2 linked regions of the Tamandua tetradactyla genome follow. The protein of the gene in region 2 interacts with the protein of the main gene of each other region in a pairwise test. Links are inferred from orthologs where the notes say so. Each region holds a gene or a part of one and is shown on either strand. Other genes may lie near its edges. The genes, in order: RAB2B and FAM114A1.

What was found.
Region 1: the proteins of FAM114A1 (region 2) and RAB2B interact in binary tests that used the Homo sapiens proteins (3 or more experiments, as listed by UniProt). The two-hybrid records come from large-scale screens. The link is inferred for Tamandua tetradactyla from reciprocal best matches to the Homo sapiens genes FAM114A1 and RAB2B.

The regions. Positions count from the first base shown.
Region 1 is NC_135340.1:34,968,605-34,976,627, reverse strand, and holds the start of RAB2B (ras-related protein Rab-2B), read right to left. Parts: upstream 3,635-8,023; 5' UTR 3,506-3,634; coding exon 3,460-3,505; intron 3,248-3,459; coding exon 3,176-3,247; intron 1-3,175. Other genes in the region: TOX4 (TOX high mobility group box family member 4), read left to right, coding at 3,934-3,939, 4,159-4,227. UniProt on the Homo sapiens protein: The small GTPases Rab are key regulators of intracellular membrane trafficking, from the formation of transport vesicles to their fusion with membranes. Rabs cycle between active GTP-bound and inactive GDP-bound states.
Region 2 is NC_135345.1:40,516,960-40,525,571, forward strand, and holds the start of FAM114A1 (protein NOXP20), read left to right. Parts: upstream 1-5,214; 5' UTR 5,215-5,296; intron 5,297-5,668; exon of another isoform or gene 5,669-5,932; intron 5,933-8,612. UniProt on the Homo sapiens protein: May play a role in neuronal cell development.

The sequences.
Region 1 (8,023 bases), on a different chromosome or scaffold from region 2:
CCATTTCAGATTTTCTCTTCTAGCTGCTCCAAAACATTTACCACTTTTTGTTTACTCATTCATCTATTTTTTTTTCTTTTTTTTTAAATTTTTTATTAATTAAAAAAAAATTACAAGAAAGAAACACAAACACTCCCAACACATACACTGGGCAATTCACAATATCATCACATAGTTGCATATCCATCATCATGATCATTTCTTGGAACATCTGCATCAATTCAGAAAAAGAAATAAAAAGACAACAGAAAAATAAAACAAAAACAGAAAAAGAAAAAAAGAATTTTACATACCATACCCCTTACCTCTCCCTTTCATTGATCACTAGCATTTCAAACTTAAATTTATTTTAACATTTGTTCCACCTATTATTTATTTTTATTCGGTATGTTCTACTCATCTGTTGACAAGGCAGATAAAAGAAGCATCAGACACAAGGTTTTCACAATCACACAGTAACACTGTGACAGCTGTACCATTATACAATCATCCTCAAGAAACATGGCTACTGGAACACAGCTCTGCATTTTCAGGCACTTCCCTCCAGCCTCTCCATTACATCCTAGGCACCTGACTCTTTTTTTTTTTTTTAGAAATCATACCATTCTACATATGCAATCAGTAATTCTTAACATCATCACATAGATGCATGATCATCGTTTCTTAGTACATTTGCATCGGTTTAGAAGAACTAGCAACACAACAGAAAAAGATATAGAATGTTAATATAGAGAAAAAAATAAAAGTAATAATAATAGTAAAAAACAAAAACAAAAACAACCAGACAGACAAAAACAAACAAAAAACAAAACAACAACAACAAAAAAAAAAACCTATAGCTCAGATGCAGCTTCATTCAGTGTTTTAACATGATTACTTTACAATTAGGTATTATTGTGCTGTCCATTTTTGAGTTTTTGTATCTAGTCCTGTTGCACAGTCTGTATCCCTTCAGCTCCAATTACCCATTATCTTACCCTGTTTCTAACTCCTGCTGGACTCTGTTACCAATGACATATTCCAAGTTTATTCTCGAATGTCGGTTCACATCAGTGGGACCATACAGTATTTGTCCTTTAGTTTTTGGCTAGACTCACTCAGCATAATGTTCTCTAGGTCCATCCATGTTATTACATGCTTCATAAGTTTATCCTGTCTTAAAGCTGCATAATATTCCATCGTATGTATATACCACAGTTTGTTTAGCCACTCGTCTGTTGATGGACATTTTGGCTGTTTCCATCTCTTTGCAATTGTAAATAACGCTGCTATAAACATTGGTGTGCAAATGTCCGTGGTATATGTTTTCTATTCTACTGCCTTGTTTGTCTTGGTAGAGAGGACTGAACTCAACAAGAAACACAGCCTTTATTGGACTCTGGGAAAACGTGATTGATCATTTTACTACTATACTTTAAAACCTGTCACTTGTTCTCTACTGCTTCAAGAGTTCGAAAATTTGGGATCTAATTTTTTTTTCTAGTTTTATTTCTCACCACTCTCCATTTCAAACTCCATGCTCCAGTCATATTGAAGTACTCAAGCTTTCACAAGTAGCCTGATCTCTGCCATCCCTGAACTTCTGAACATTCTCTAACCTAGTCACTTTTCTTAAAAAAAAAATTATTATATCCATAATCCCTCTGCCTGGCTAACTTCTGCTCATTCTTCAAGTTTCAGCATTTGTTGACAGAGGCGGCAACCTTGGCTTCCCCTTTTGTAAGGGGAATTTGCTTACCAGTATCTGCCCCAATTCCCATCTCCATTCTTGCAAGGAAGGCTATAAGCTACTGAAGGGCAGACATGATGTTACCTTGCTAAGCATGTATCCTTAGTATATGACACATCAGTATTCAGCTAAAATTCATTAAGGAAAAAAAAAAAACCTGTTGCTTCTATCTGGTAAACACTTTTCTAACCCTCAGTTATTTGGCTTTGAATAATCCTTTGGGAAAGATTTCTATACTGGTAGGATTTAGAAGTGGCTATATGGTGAAAATGGGAAGCTAGGACTTTTATGTAGAGACTGCATTTTTACAGCAAGAAGTTTAAGTGTTTTGTTTTGCTTTGTTTTAATCAGGGATGGGATTATGGAGAGTACGGGAAGTGGGATGCTAAAACTCCTCTAAGCCATGCCTTGCAACAAATGAGTGTGGGATGTTTATACTTTCGAAGATCACCAGGTTTTGTTTTGTTTTGTTTTTATTGGTACATATTATATATTCACATACTGTGTAATCATCCAAAGTGTACAATCAATGGTTCACAATATCATCATAAAGCTGTGCATTTATCATCACAATCGACTATTTTTTTCTTTTTTTGTGAAAACTAACATATATACAAAAAAGGAATAAATTTCAAAGTACATCACAACAATTAGTTGTAAAACAGATTTCAGAGTTTGGCATGAGTTCCAATTTCACAATTTTAGGTTTTTACTACTAGCTGCTCCAAGACATTGGAGACTAAAAGTAATATCAATATAATGATTCAGCAATCATAGGCATATGTTAAACTCTACCTTCTTTGTATAACTCCACCATCACCTTTGTTCTTTCTCCCACTCTTTAGGGGTATTTGGGTTATGCCCATTTTAACTTTTTCATGTTGGAAAGGGCTGTCAATAATATGGTTAGGGCTAGTTCATGCTCTGGAGAGGCTGGCCCCTCCACATTTTAGGACTCATCTGGTCTAGGGACCCATCTGGAGGTCGTAGGTTTCCACCAGTTTGTTTTTGGAATTCTATCATACTCTTTCCTTTAAAAGGAAAGTTATCAGTTTAATCTGCCTTTTTTATGCTTCTTCCTCTCCAACATACAAAAAAATCCATATAATGGTGATTACTTTGAGAAACATATGTGAGGTTAGTAATAATGTACCGCCAAGCAGATGAGCTCTTGAATCAGCAGTTATGCTTTCGTGGGATTTTCCATAAACATACAAATTGAGTTTTAAAAAAAAATCCTGAGGCAACCAATCCCGTATCTCACATTCATCGGTCAAGTTAACGTCCAATTATTTCTACCCCATTACACTCCTCATTTATCAGTGCTTGTTTTAATTCATTAACTATAACTTTGTTCTATCATAAAATAGGAAGTATTTTTACTTTGAGCATTGAAGGCTGCTAACTTTTCACTTGAGCTGTTCTCGGACAGGTAAATGCACTTACCGATTGTGAGGTCGTGGACAGGCTGGAACCGCTTGTCGGTAAATTGCAAAAGGAGACATGATTTGCCCACACCTGAAAGAGGACGAAGCGCGTTATCGCAATCACGCAGTCCCTGTGTGGGCTTTGAGAACCCGGGAGGGGGAGCCCCGAGTCCCGCCCGCTTCGCCCCGCCCCCGCCAGCTCTTGGAGTTACCCGAACTATTAAATGAGCCCCGCCTTCGCGACCCGATTTGGGAATTTAGGAACCACGCCCCAGCCTCAAAAGCGGTCAACCCGCGGTTTACCTGTGTCCCCGATGATAATGTACTTGAAGAGATAAGCATAAGTCATGGTCCCAATTCCTCTGGATTCCGGGTCCGCCCGATTTCTATAGCAACTTACCTACGGCCTCTCTAACGGCTCAATCTACCGATCTCCTTATTTTCCGCACCCCCCCCCCCCCCCAACTCTCGCCCCTCTAGCCTTGATCACATCTCTATTGCTCTTCCCAGAAATCCTCTCTCGGTTTGGGACGGTGGTTATACCCCGGCGCCGCCTCCAGGGACGCGTTTAGCTCCTCTAAGTGCTATTATCCTACCAAGCTCCAGGGGGCGATACCTACCCTCGGCCTTGCGGGCCTGACTCGCTGCGGCCCTGCTGTTCACCTTCCAATCAGTGGAGAATGATGTTCTTCATTACGGAAGTGACGGAAGTTCCGAGTCTGGTGGGGGCGGTAGGAGCGATGAGGGGACTGAGACGGTGGTAGCGGTTGTGTGAAGATGGAGGTAGGAACTGGAACGCTGAGAAGGCTGACGAGAGAACGTGGCCCACGGGTTTGAATAAAGCAGAGGAGGGAAGCCGGGAGGAGAGGCGGCTGACCCGGGAGGAGAGAGACAGCAGGGTTTGGGGAGTGTTGTCAGAAGGTCGGGGTCAGAATCCGTCGCTCCCAGCTGACTCCCTACCCGCCCCCTAACTTATCCCCGCGGCTTTCTTTTGGTTTCCAGTTTCCCGGAGGAAATGACAATTACCTGACGATCACAGGGCCCTCGCACCCCTTCCTGTCAGGGGCCGAGGTGAGCACGAGCTGATGACGCTGCGGGGGGTGGGGGGTGAGGGGAGGGCCGGAGGCAGCGGTGGTGGTAGGGTGGGGGCGGGAGAGCGCTGACGCGGGGGACCCGGGGCTGGGAATCAGGGTCCGCGTTTGGTGTTTAGGGAAAAGTGGTAGCTGTTTCTCGAACCTCTGAGGACTATCTGGGGAGGGTCCCGGAAGCTGCTGTCATCAGAAAAATAGGACGTTGGAAAGCGATGATCTGTTTGAGGAGGAGATTGATACTGAGTTGGAAGACAGTGGAATAGTCTCCTTTCGTAGGGAGGAAATAGCTACAACCGTCTTGAGGGATAACAGCAGGAAGAAAATGTTTTTGTTAAAGAAGCTGAAATGAGGATATGAACTTACCTAATGGATTAAATGTGGACATATGTTCATCCTTGAAACGAACTCTGTTGAAGGGGCCTTTCTTTCATTTAAACTTCCTATTCAGTAACAACAGCAACAGCAAAATTAGTAATTATGTTTATGTAGATGGCGTCACCATGTTTTGCTGATGACCGGAGGAAAGGAAAGAGGTACCAAAGGACATGAATGGAGTTAAGTAGAACATGTGTTTCTGCTTGTGGGTGACTCAGAGATTGAGCAGATTACTTCGCCTTTGTTATGTCACAGTTTTCCCATCTATCAAATGGTTGTATTAATAGTTGCTTATGATGTTGTGAAGTAGAAGTAATGGTTATGGTGAGGTCCTTTAGTATTTGTGGAAAAGTTTTGGTTTAAATATTGTCGTAACATGGATATGTATTACTTGCCTAGGCCAGGCAAAAGAGAAATATGAAACAGTTAAAAATAAATTTCTACTTCCCTGTGAGTGTGAAGTCGAAAGCCATCTACTGTCTTTTGAGGATTTAAAATTTTTTTTTCAAAAGCAGTACAAGGCATTTGTTTTGGTACCAAGAATTCTCAGTTGCTTTTTTGTGTGGACTTATCCTATAATAAATCCTAAAATTCTCCTGGATGAGAATTAGATTGACAAGGGACCATTGCTAGTTTTTTAACTTCTTTATTGCTGTTGTCATTTATTATACTTCTCCTAAGCAGAGGAAAGTATGAATCAAAGATACACCAAATTTAGAAGTGATATAAAGCTAAGGATCTGTTTGGTGCTTTGCAGTCTCTTTCAGTACCAGTTTTTCCCAGAATCAGTTCTGTACAGTATAAATTTCATTATTTGGAGTATTTGTAAATTTCACATTGGTCACGTCCATGCAAAAGTGCATTTCAAAAACTAAATATGAATGCTTTCTATTTACCCACCATTCTTAATCTTTTGCCTCTTAAATGAAGTCAAGTAATCTATAAACTACATGAGAGGTGGCTCCTTTTTACAATGTCAAGAAACTCCGAGTTTGAATCTGTTTATTGTGTGTGGGTTTGTTTTTTTTGTTGTTGTTGTTGTTGTTTTTTTAATAACAAAACCTGTTTTGCCAAGAAGCTCCTTTTAAAAGTAAGTTTTAGGGTCAACTTCTGTAGCTTCCTATGGTATACAGAATTGTTAACTGTTTTCCCTTTTCTCATTACAACTTCTACCTCTTTCCTTCCCCTCTTTTTTGTTTTTAACTTTTATTTTGATTCGCTTGTGTTTTTTGTAGGTAAAGGTAATATTTTTTTTAATTATTTAGAAGTAGAGTAATTTTTAAATTTTCGTACACGTAAAGGGTAGCTGTCCACAAAAAGTATTAAGTGTAAAAGGAAACATTGGAAAGTTGGACTTCATTGAAATTGGGAACATCTTTTCATCAAAAGATATCATTAAGAAAGTAAACTGGCAGTATACAGATTGGGAGATATTTACAGTACATTTATCTGACTCATATTCTGAATGTATCAGGTACTCCTGCAGAGCAAAATAAATAATCTAATTAAAAATGGGCAAGATTTGAAAACAGGAACCTCACAAAAAAGGATATCCAAATAGTCATATGCATATGAAAAAAGTGCCATCATCACTCATCTGGAAAATACAAATTAAAATCATAGTTACATGCCCTTGTATTCCTACCAAGTTAGTTAAAATGAAAGGATTGACAAACTAAGAGTTGTCAAGAGTATGGATAATTCAGTCATAGTTGTTCAGAGTGTGGATTGGTTTAACCACTTTGGAAAACTGACAGTATCTCTTTAGGATAAAAATATGCCTACCCTGTGACTCAGGAATAGCACTCGTTGGTTTATATGCAAAAGAATATATGCACATATATTCACCAAAAACATGTATAGGAATGTTCACAGCAACTCTATTCATAATAGCTAAACACCAGAAACAACCCAAATATCTATCAGCAGAAAAATAGATAAACTAGTACATTTATAAAAAGCAATAACTGCACAGCAATAAAAAAGAGCAAACTGCTAATTAATGCAATAACTTGGATGATCTAAAAAATATATTGTTGCATGAAAGAAACCACACAGAAGCTATATGAACACTATATGAGTTCATTTTTTAATGAGGTTTAAGAATAAGCACAGCTAAACCATTGTGGTAGAAATCAGAAGAGTGGTACTTCTTGTGAAGCAGAGTATTGACTGGAAAGGGACATGAGGAATTACAGTGATGAAAATATCCTGTATTTTTTATCTAGTTGGTAATGATTTGGGCTATACACTTAAAATTTGTGTGCTTTACATATGTTGTACCTCAATGAAATAAGGAATAATAATTTCAAAATAGTAGGTCTCCAGAGATGAAGGCTTAGTATTTATAACAGCATTTCTTGTGATGGGAAGCTCTATGATTGGAAGGGAATTTAATCTTTGTATTTCTCTCATTCAAGTTGGCTCTTACATAATGATACCAGGCTTTGACCACTTTGGGAAAATAAGACATCAAGATACCTATCCTTGATTGGGAAAGTACTTATAGCTCTAGATCATGTTCATGATTTCGTCGGTATAGAAGTTTCATTACTATAAATATTTCATTTCTTAAGGTCATTTTAATGACCGTAGTATCAGTGAACAACTCAATAAGTAGGTGTTGGATTAAAATGCATTTCCTTGCAATGAATAACCTATACAAGAAAACTCTTTAAAGAAATACTGGATCGTGTATTGTGGTATTGCAGAATGAGTAAAAGAATGGATATGGTACTTTAAAACTTTCTGGTTCTCTCAATATCTAAGTATTCTTGCTTATAAACTGTAATTCCCATCTTGTTCCCTCTCTCAAAAAGGCCCTGAGAAGGCCTTTAATAGAGAAGGAAAGGGAAACTGAGTGAGCAAGTATCTGCATCATATTCTTGTTTTCTGTTTCTGTATCCACACCGTTCATTTTTACTTTAATATTTGCTACAACTTAGGTTTGTTTTGTTTTTAACAGTCTAGAGTGTGATGTTGTCACATCTGTGGTAATAGATCCACAAAACTAAAATAAGTTTTGTCATTATTGGATTTTACCCTAAACTTACAAATCATTTGTGGTGGTGAAAGAAACTGACTGACCGTTTTTATTATAGCATGCTTTTATTATAGCATGATTTATTTTTATTCTTGATCATTGTAGTTATTTTGCTATTCATACTTAAAACCAAATTTTCAAAACAAAAATTGTCATTAAACTATACATACTGAATAACAAACCTCTTTCCACATCTTGGGGTAATGCATAGGGAGAATACCCTTTTGGTCTGAGACAATAGAATCTCTGTAAGTCTGATTTTTTAATGTCCTCGAGAGCACACCAGATGGTTTATGAGGGGTGGTCTCTTGTAGCACAGTAATCTCTTGTTTTGGACGTGAATTTTAATTCTTTATTG
Region 2 (8,612 bases):
GAATTTGTGCACCCATGGAGAACTTTTCCAGCTTGCTCCAAATGTCAGTGGCAGACTGGCTAATGAAACAGGTGCCCAGAAAAATTTGGCTTTCCCAGTAATCCAAGCTTACATTATTAGTAAACTTCTTTAGGGCTCCCACTAGCCTCCCTTGGAACAGAGCCAGGTTTTCCTTTTTCTCCTGAGTAATTTCCCTTAGTTTATTGTAATTAACTGGGTTGGAGGTACATTTTCTTATGCCTTTTAGCAATGAAGTTTTCTGTTTTTTTGTTTTTTGGGGGTGCATGGTCCAGGAATCAAATCTGGGTCTCCACATAAAAGGTGAGCATTCTACCACTGGAATCACCCATGCACCCACGAGCAAATTTTTAAAAGGGGATCATTAAAGAAGATTTTTTCCTCTAATGGAAATTGAGACATGGGGATAACACAAGCAACAAGTTCTTTTCAGCTCCTTGTCTTGATAGAGAGCCAGAGATAGGAAATTTCTGACTACTTTCTCTGTCTTTTATAGACTGAAGGATGCTGTGCTGGTTTGAAAGTGTTGTGACCCCAGAAAGCAATCTAATCAAAAGGTTACAGAAACAATTGGGCATGTTACATCTTCATGTAAACAAACTAAAATTTCCACCCCACAATATTGAATCAGGATTAAAGGACATGGCTTTTCTGGGGTTCAACTCAAAAAGGTTGCTCTCAATTTAAAAGCAATTTCCACTTACCATTCCCTCCCTCCCCTTCATGTTAAAATAATGTTCTCGTATTAGTCTAAATATATGTATATATAATTCATTATTAGCTTAAAATTTTTTTATTTGTAAAAAGAAATTTTAAAAAATACAGTTACTATGGCTAAGGATTTTAAGTGGAATTGGGAAGTTATTATGCAGGTCTCAGCCAGATATCACAAACTACCGCATTATGTAAAGCCTCAGGCAACAGTGTTCCTCAAAACCCTAAAGGCACCTTGACTCTTGAAGATGATTGTATAACTATACAGCTCTTACATTGTGACTGTGTGATTGTGAAAACCTTGTGGCTGATGTACCCTTTAAGGACAGATGAGTAAGAACATAAGGACAAAAAATAAATAAATAATGGGGGGATAAGAGATTTAAAAAAAGTTGGATAGATTGAAATACTAGCGGTTCATGAAAGGGAAGAGTAAGGGGTATTGGATGTATGAGTTTCTTCTGTATTTTTTTTTTTTTGGCACGGGCAGGTACTGGGAATCGAACCCAGGTCTCTGGCATGGCAGCCACTGATTGTATATTTTGGATAGACTGTGCACAAGGATATCTCAATAAAAATATATTTTTTAGAAAAACCCTAAGGGCATCCGGACATCATAAACAAACACAAGATAAAGAACTCAATAAATTATCTAACCTGAAGGACATCTGGAAGACTCTAAATTATCCACCAACCTAACAACTTATTTAATCTTCTTGTTTTTCTTTAAAAGCTCTTGCCTGGAAGTGCCAAAACAGGACATGATTTGGATTTCTACCTTAATCTGTGCTCTTCAAAATGCAATTTTTTTCTTGGTTACTTAGCCATAGGCATATTTAAATAAAATACTAATTGTAAAGCCTGTTTGTACAATGTTTCTAAACAAATTTAAAATTAAAGCAAGGAAGACATCTACAGATAAAGATATCAGAGTTCCTGAAATTCTAAATATTAAACACACTATCTTAAATACCAATTTATTAACTTTCAAACTGTGTACACTCTCATAATATCAAGCAGAAAGTTATTAAAATAGCAACTTTGCTACAGTAGTGACCTATGTAACTAAACATTTTCAAATTTTAGATTTCAGGAATTTATTTTATCTAATATTACTATAGCTGCCTATAGTTTTTTTAAACCATTTTTTGTTATAAAAAGCAAAGAAAGAAAAATACAATAATTTTCAAAGCACACTTCAATAAGCAGCTACAGAACAGGTCCCAGAGTCTGTCATGGGCCACCATGCCCTCAACTCAGATTTTTCCTTCTAGCTGCTCCAAAACACTGGAGGCTTTACTAGAGTCATAATAACAAAATTATACAGTATCTGTCCTTTTGTGTCTGACTTATTTCATTTAGCATTATGTCCTCAAGGTTCATCCACGTTGTCATAGGTTTCGGGACAACATTTTGTCTAAACGCTGCATAATATTCCATTGTATGTGTTTTAGTTTGCTAGTTGCTGGAATGCAATATACCAGAAACAGAACAGCTCTTAAAAGGGGGAATTTATTAAGTTGCAAGTTTACTGTTCTAAGGCCATGCAAGTCTATAAAAATGTCCAAATTAAGAAGCCAACAAGTGGTCATCTTCACTCAAAAAAGGCCAATGTTCAGGGTTTCTCTCTCAACTGGAAAGGCATGTGGCGAACACGGTGCATCGGTTAGCTTTCTCTCCAAGCTTCTAGTTTCATGAAGCTCCCTGGGGGCCATGTCCCTTCTTCATCTCCATAGGTCCCTTGCTGTGTGGGTTATGTGGCTCTTTTTGAAATGGTTCCCATCTAAAGAGCTCCAGTAAGCAACCCCACCTTGAAAGGATGGAGACACACCTCCATGGAAATCATTTAATCTAAAGTTTGCCCACTATTGGGTGGGTCATACCTCCATGAATAATTTAAAACTGCCACCCAGCAATACTGAGTGAGGACTAGAGGACATAGCTTTTCTGGGGTCCACAAATTCATACCGGCACAGTATGCATACACTATATTTGGTTTATCCACTCGTCTGTTGATGGGCACCTGTATGGTTTCCATCTCTTGGCAATTGTGAATAGAGCCACTATGAACATCAGTGTGCAAATCTCTGTTCATGTCACTGTCCTCAAGTCTTCTTGGTATATACCAAGTATTGGTATTGCCAGGTCATAGGGCAACTCAATATTTAGTTTTCTGAGGAAACACCAACTGACTTAAACAGCAGCTGAACTATTATACATTCCCACCAGCAATGCATAAGTATTTCAATTTCTCCACATCCTCTCCAACATTTATAGTTTCCTGTTTGTTCTATAACAGCCATTTTTATAGGTGTGAGGCGGTATCTCATTGCATCTCCCTTGTAGCCAATGAAGATGAGCAGCTCTTCGTATGCTTTTTAGCCATCTGTATTCGCTCTTCAGAAAAGTATCTATTCATATCCTCTGTCCATTTATTTATTGGGTTGTTTGTTCTTCTGTTGTTGAGCTGTATAATGCCTTTATGTACACAGGATATCAAGCCTTTATCTGATTTGTGGTTTCGAAATATTTTCTCCCATTGAGTTGGCTGCCTCTTCACCTTTTTAACAAAATTCTTTGAGGCACAGAAGCTCTTGATCTTAAGGAGTTCCCAACTGCCTATTTTTTCTCTCATTGCTTGTGCTTTAGGCATAGTTTAAGAAGCTACCTACTATTACTAGATCTTGAAGATTTTTCCTTACATTTTCTTCTAGAACTTTAATAATACTGACTCTTACATTCAGTTCTTTAATTCATTTTGAATTAATTTTTGTATAGGGTGTAAGGTAGGGGTCCTCTTTCATTCTTTTGTAAGACCCCAAATAAGCACCTTTGTCACCTGCAGGCTTGTTTATTTCTCTATTGACATATTCTATACCGAAATATAAAGAAGGAACTAGAAATGGCCTGTTGCCTTTCAATAGGGAGATGACTAAATAAATTGTGATACAAAACATATTATGACATACAATGCAAGCATTAGAAGGATATTTTTTATTGATATGTATTATTCAAGAAATATAATACATAATAAATCAGTAAAAACAATTAACAAAATACATCAATATCTTGTCATTTTTATAAACACCAAACAAAACAATTGTATACGTATAAATGTATATCAACTTAGAAAAACTGGTAGGAGCCACACACAATTAAAAATGAAAGTAATATTTACAGGGAAAGAGTAAAGCTATTACCATTAAAAATGCTTTTAAATTATTGCAATTGGCATGTATTACATTCATCTTTTTTTTTTAAAGAGGATGTGGGACAGGAGAAAAACAAATTCACCTTATACACATCACTCAGAAAGAACCACTATTTTTTCGTGTTTGTTTGATGTTTTGTATGCTGTGTGGCAGGGTCACATTTCATTCTTTTCCCATGTGAGTATCCCGTTATTGCAGCACCATTTGTTGAATTTTTTGTTTGTTTTGTTTTATGGGAAGTGCATGGATGGGCAATGCAACCCGGGTCTCCTGCACGGCAGGCGAGAATTCTACCACTGACGTACCCTCGCACCCCCCACCACTGTTTTCTGAAATTATATTTTTACTTACTTTTATATAAATATACACATACATATATATTAACCAAAAAACAGATACAAATTCTACATACACTTTTAGAAAGTGCTTCTTTTTTCCCATGGGCAGGCACAGGGAACCAAACCCAGGTCTCCAGCATGGCAGGTGAGAATTCTGCCACCGAGCCACCATCGCAACGCCCCCTACACTTTTATAATCCCCTCCTCCCCTCCACACATACACACTTAATGTTCGGCTACGGCCTTCCTCCCATATCCACAAATACAGATGTTCAATTATAATTTTTAGTGGCTGCAGCATATTAGACTGTTTTGAGTAGCTATAGTTTAGTTCCCCTTATTATGAGACATTTTGTTTTCCCTGTTAAAGACCACAATAACATAAGTATTCGCACATTTCGTCTGTATACTTAGGACAAATTCCCAGGTGTGGAATTCCTGGGCCAAAGCTAATGCATTTGAATTTTGCTCCACATTTCCAAACTGACCTTCTAGAAAGTTTGTTATTGAGTGTAATCAGATTACACTCCCACCGACGGAGGAAGGGAGAGGAACTGTTTCATGCAGAATCGGAAGATGACAAACTCTCGCTGAATTGGGCAACCCCTTCCCGGTGAGGCTGCCTCCGGGGTTTTCCCCGCGCTTAAAAGGATGGCAAGGGATCGGCGACCCCTGAGGCCCTCCAGGGATAAGGCGAGCGTCCCTCCGGCCCTCCCCGCAGGCGCAGTGCTGGGAACTGCAGTTTCCCAGGGAGGGTCGGGAAGCAGGACCCGAGACCAGACCAGCCTAGAGAGTTAGGATGCCCGAGCGACCCGGCCAGCGCTCCCTGGCTGGGGTGGGGCGCACGTCCAGAATCTGGCCCCCTCCAGCGCCAACCGGGCGCGGGGCGGGGCAGCTCGTCCCGCCCTCCTCTCCCCTCGCGGGCCCGCCCTCCGGCCGCGTCCCCGCCGGCCCTGCAGACGTGGCGGGGCGGGACCCGCCCGGCCCTCCCGCGCGCACTCGGCCGCCTGAGCGGTAAGAGCCCCGGGAAACTCTCTCTCCATCCCCTTCCCCGGGCGGGCGGGTGGAATGAGGGGCAGCCCGCTGCGGGGTGGTGGGGAGACCTGCCGTTGCTTCTGGTCGGTGATCCCCGAACCCAGGCCGCTGCGCTGTTAAAACGCCATCCGCAGGCGCGGGACCACGGGAGGATCGGGCTTGGGAGTGAAGGTCCGGGGAGGCGCGAGCGGCGCGGCCGAGGGCCCTGCGTGGGTGCGGGCGTGTGAGTGTGTGTGTGTGAGTGTGTGTCGCTCCGAGTCCACGCTCATGCACACACCCACACGCCCGCACGCCGGGTCTGCCCCCTCGGCCGGCGGCCGCCAGCATCAGAACCTCTGCGGTGGAGCTTACCTTTGCTTCCAAAAGTATCCAGTCGTGGCACCAAGCAAGTCTGAAAAAGTTTCCCCAGTATCCCAGGTTGAAGGTAGAAGCAGACAGCAGAGTCTCCGTAGCTCGCTCGGAGCACGGAGGTGGCTGGTCCCGGAAAGGCAAAGGCCTCCATCCCGGAGTGTGCCTGGCCTTGGCCGCGGGAAGCGAGGTCGGTCCTTGACCTTCCACCCTAGCTCACCACTCCGCCCCCTGCAGACCCACGCCCCGGCCTGCTCTTGCACCCCAGCTAACACCTTAGGCTGACACCACCTCTATTCACAGTCCTGGGTTTGGGTTCAAGTCCCCACCCCAACCCCAAGCCCCACCTCCACCCAATCATCTCGACTACCCTGGAATCTGGTGAGTATTTCTAGCTGCCCCAGATCCGGGTGCCTGGAGTGTACTGGCTTTTCCTAGAATAAAAAGACATCCCTTTGTATGGGCTATGAGGACATCATCTGTCCCCTATCATCCTGAGGTTCCCATCCTGTACTTCTTGAAGAGAGGCAAGCAGGTGGCTTTTAGACTAAATGTATAATGAACTTCGTAGGAAATCAGTCAACCTAGGTTACAGAGAATGAGACAGGCTTTATGCTCAGCAGCCTCTCTCCCTCTTTTCCCCCAGTGGCCCCATTCCTACCCCATCCACATGCCCATGGTCTCTCCTGTCTTTCTGCCATCAAACTCTGAGAATCTGATAAACTTCTTACTTTGTAAGCTTGATGCAAAAAGAATAAAACTTTAATGGTGGAATTTGAAGCGCAGTGCAGAAGTGATTTGACAGTAATAGGGAGACTTCTAAACCACCAGGATTGAGACCATGTAAGTAGCCATTTATTTATGAGACTGGACCTATGGCAAACATTGTTTCTCTTGAATCAGTATCAAACACAATGTATTTCATTCAGGAAATATTTGAGGGTCAGATTCTAGGCTAGGTGTGGATTGGGTCACAACCCTGGAGGAAAGACAGATGTAAAAACAAGTACTTCTTGTAAATGTAGCAGGAGAAGTCTGTGCAGACAACCCATAGAAGAGGGAGCAATTAATTATTTGGAAGGAGCAGGGCAGATTAAGGGAAATGTCAGAGGAAAAGGTGACGTCAGACTTTTAGAGATGATTAAGAATTTGCCAGGCACTTGGAAGCAGGGTAGCCCAGGCAGAGGAGACTGCCTAAGCAGTGAAAAGGAGGTGTGAAGGCCTACAAGCAGGGTAGAAAATGAAGAAAAGTCTGGTGAGACAAAAGTGTAGGGTGTGTTGCGAGTGGCAGGGGGTAGACAGAGAGGTCAGGGCTGGATTATGAGGGACCACGGAGGCCGTGGGGAGATATTTGGAACTAATGGCTTTTAAACAGGGAAGCAATAGAGCCCACCTATGTTTCAGAAAAAAAGAGGCTGGACTGGAGGAAAAGTCTGAGACCTGGGACTGTGTACTTATTAAGCATCCTAGGAACTCTTACAACCTGAATTTAAAACCTGCCATCTAGAGTTCTTATCCCTGTCCTTCACAGACTAGCCTTCTTTTTAGTTGGGGGAGAGGGTCTTAAATAGGACATTGCATTACCAAATTTTTATTTTGCCAAGTAAGGCCATTAAAAAAAAAAATCCATCCACTGCCATCACCATTTCATAAAAGAAAAGACATTCTCATACCAAGAAAAGCGTGAAGGCCAGACTTTACATGAAGGCAGTCCTTTACATTTAATAAATTTAGACTTATGGAAAATAATGCTATCTTTTGTCTTCATTTTGCTCTCTCACCCTGGACCAGCCCCTTCCTGTGGGCTGGCATTCGGGAACCATGTCTCCAGATCATTTTGTCCAATATCCTTGCTTTACAGAGGAAATAGTGGGAAGCCCAGCTATGAATGAGATCCATGCTCACGAAGGGGTGGAGGGAAGAGAGACCACAGTTCTTGACCCCCAGGGCAGGGTTCTCCCCACCTCAGCATATTGTCCCTCCCGCCCCACAGAATTTCTCTGTGTTCTCTTGGCCCAGCCACACTGATGTCCGTCCTAACTATCTAGAATACATTCCAAACGCTGGGAATTTGCACATGCTCTTCTTCTACCCTACCTGGAAATAACCATATCAAAGCCACATCAAGGTCCTCCCTTGCATAAGGTCTGTCGAATTCAGGCACAATTTTCCCTATTTTGATGTGCTGTTTTGCATCCTTATTTAACTATTATTTAGCTCCTCAAGCAGAGTCATCAATTTTTGAAGCATAGTGACCATGTCTTCTGTTTAAACTTGTTTTGGGAGCTGTGATGCTGCTGCTTCAATACTTCACATAGTTCTGGAAGCAATTTAGGTGATGAATGAATTTACTCATGAAAGCTATTCCTAGCCCCACAAAGGCTTCTTTATGCTCCATCCTTCCTTTCCTTGGAGTTTACTGAAGAAGCCTCCTTGTTTCTGTGGATTGAGTCTCCCTTGCATCAAAGCCATGGGACATGGCTGTAATGATCAGTGTTCTAAACCGAAAATCAGGAGAGGTTTATGAGACGTCAGACTGTGCTTATGGGGCACTTAGGCAGAGATGGGGATGGTCCCAGGAAACACAGAGCGTGACAGGGCTGACGTCCTGGTAGGCTTTTTAGTCCTTGCTCAGAAACAGCTGTGTATTTAGGACACATGTTCTCTAATGGCTTGCGACAAAAGTGCACAGTCTTAAAAATAATTACGTTTCTCTAGTCATAATAATGCCCAGAGTAGATAAGAGACCAACCGGAACAAACAAAAAGATTTTTTTTTCTTTCGGTTTTAATTTAGGAAAAAAGGTAGACCTATTACAGGTAGAAGTACGTATAATACTAGAGATACATATCATTAAAAGTTGAAACAGAGCTGATATTATGGCAAACATTTCCCTTATGTAAACAGATTTACAAATCTAATCTTTCTGAAACTTAAGACTTTTCTG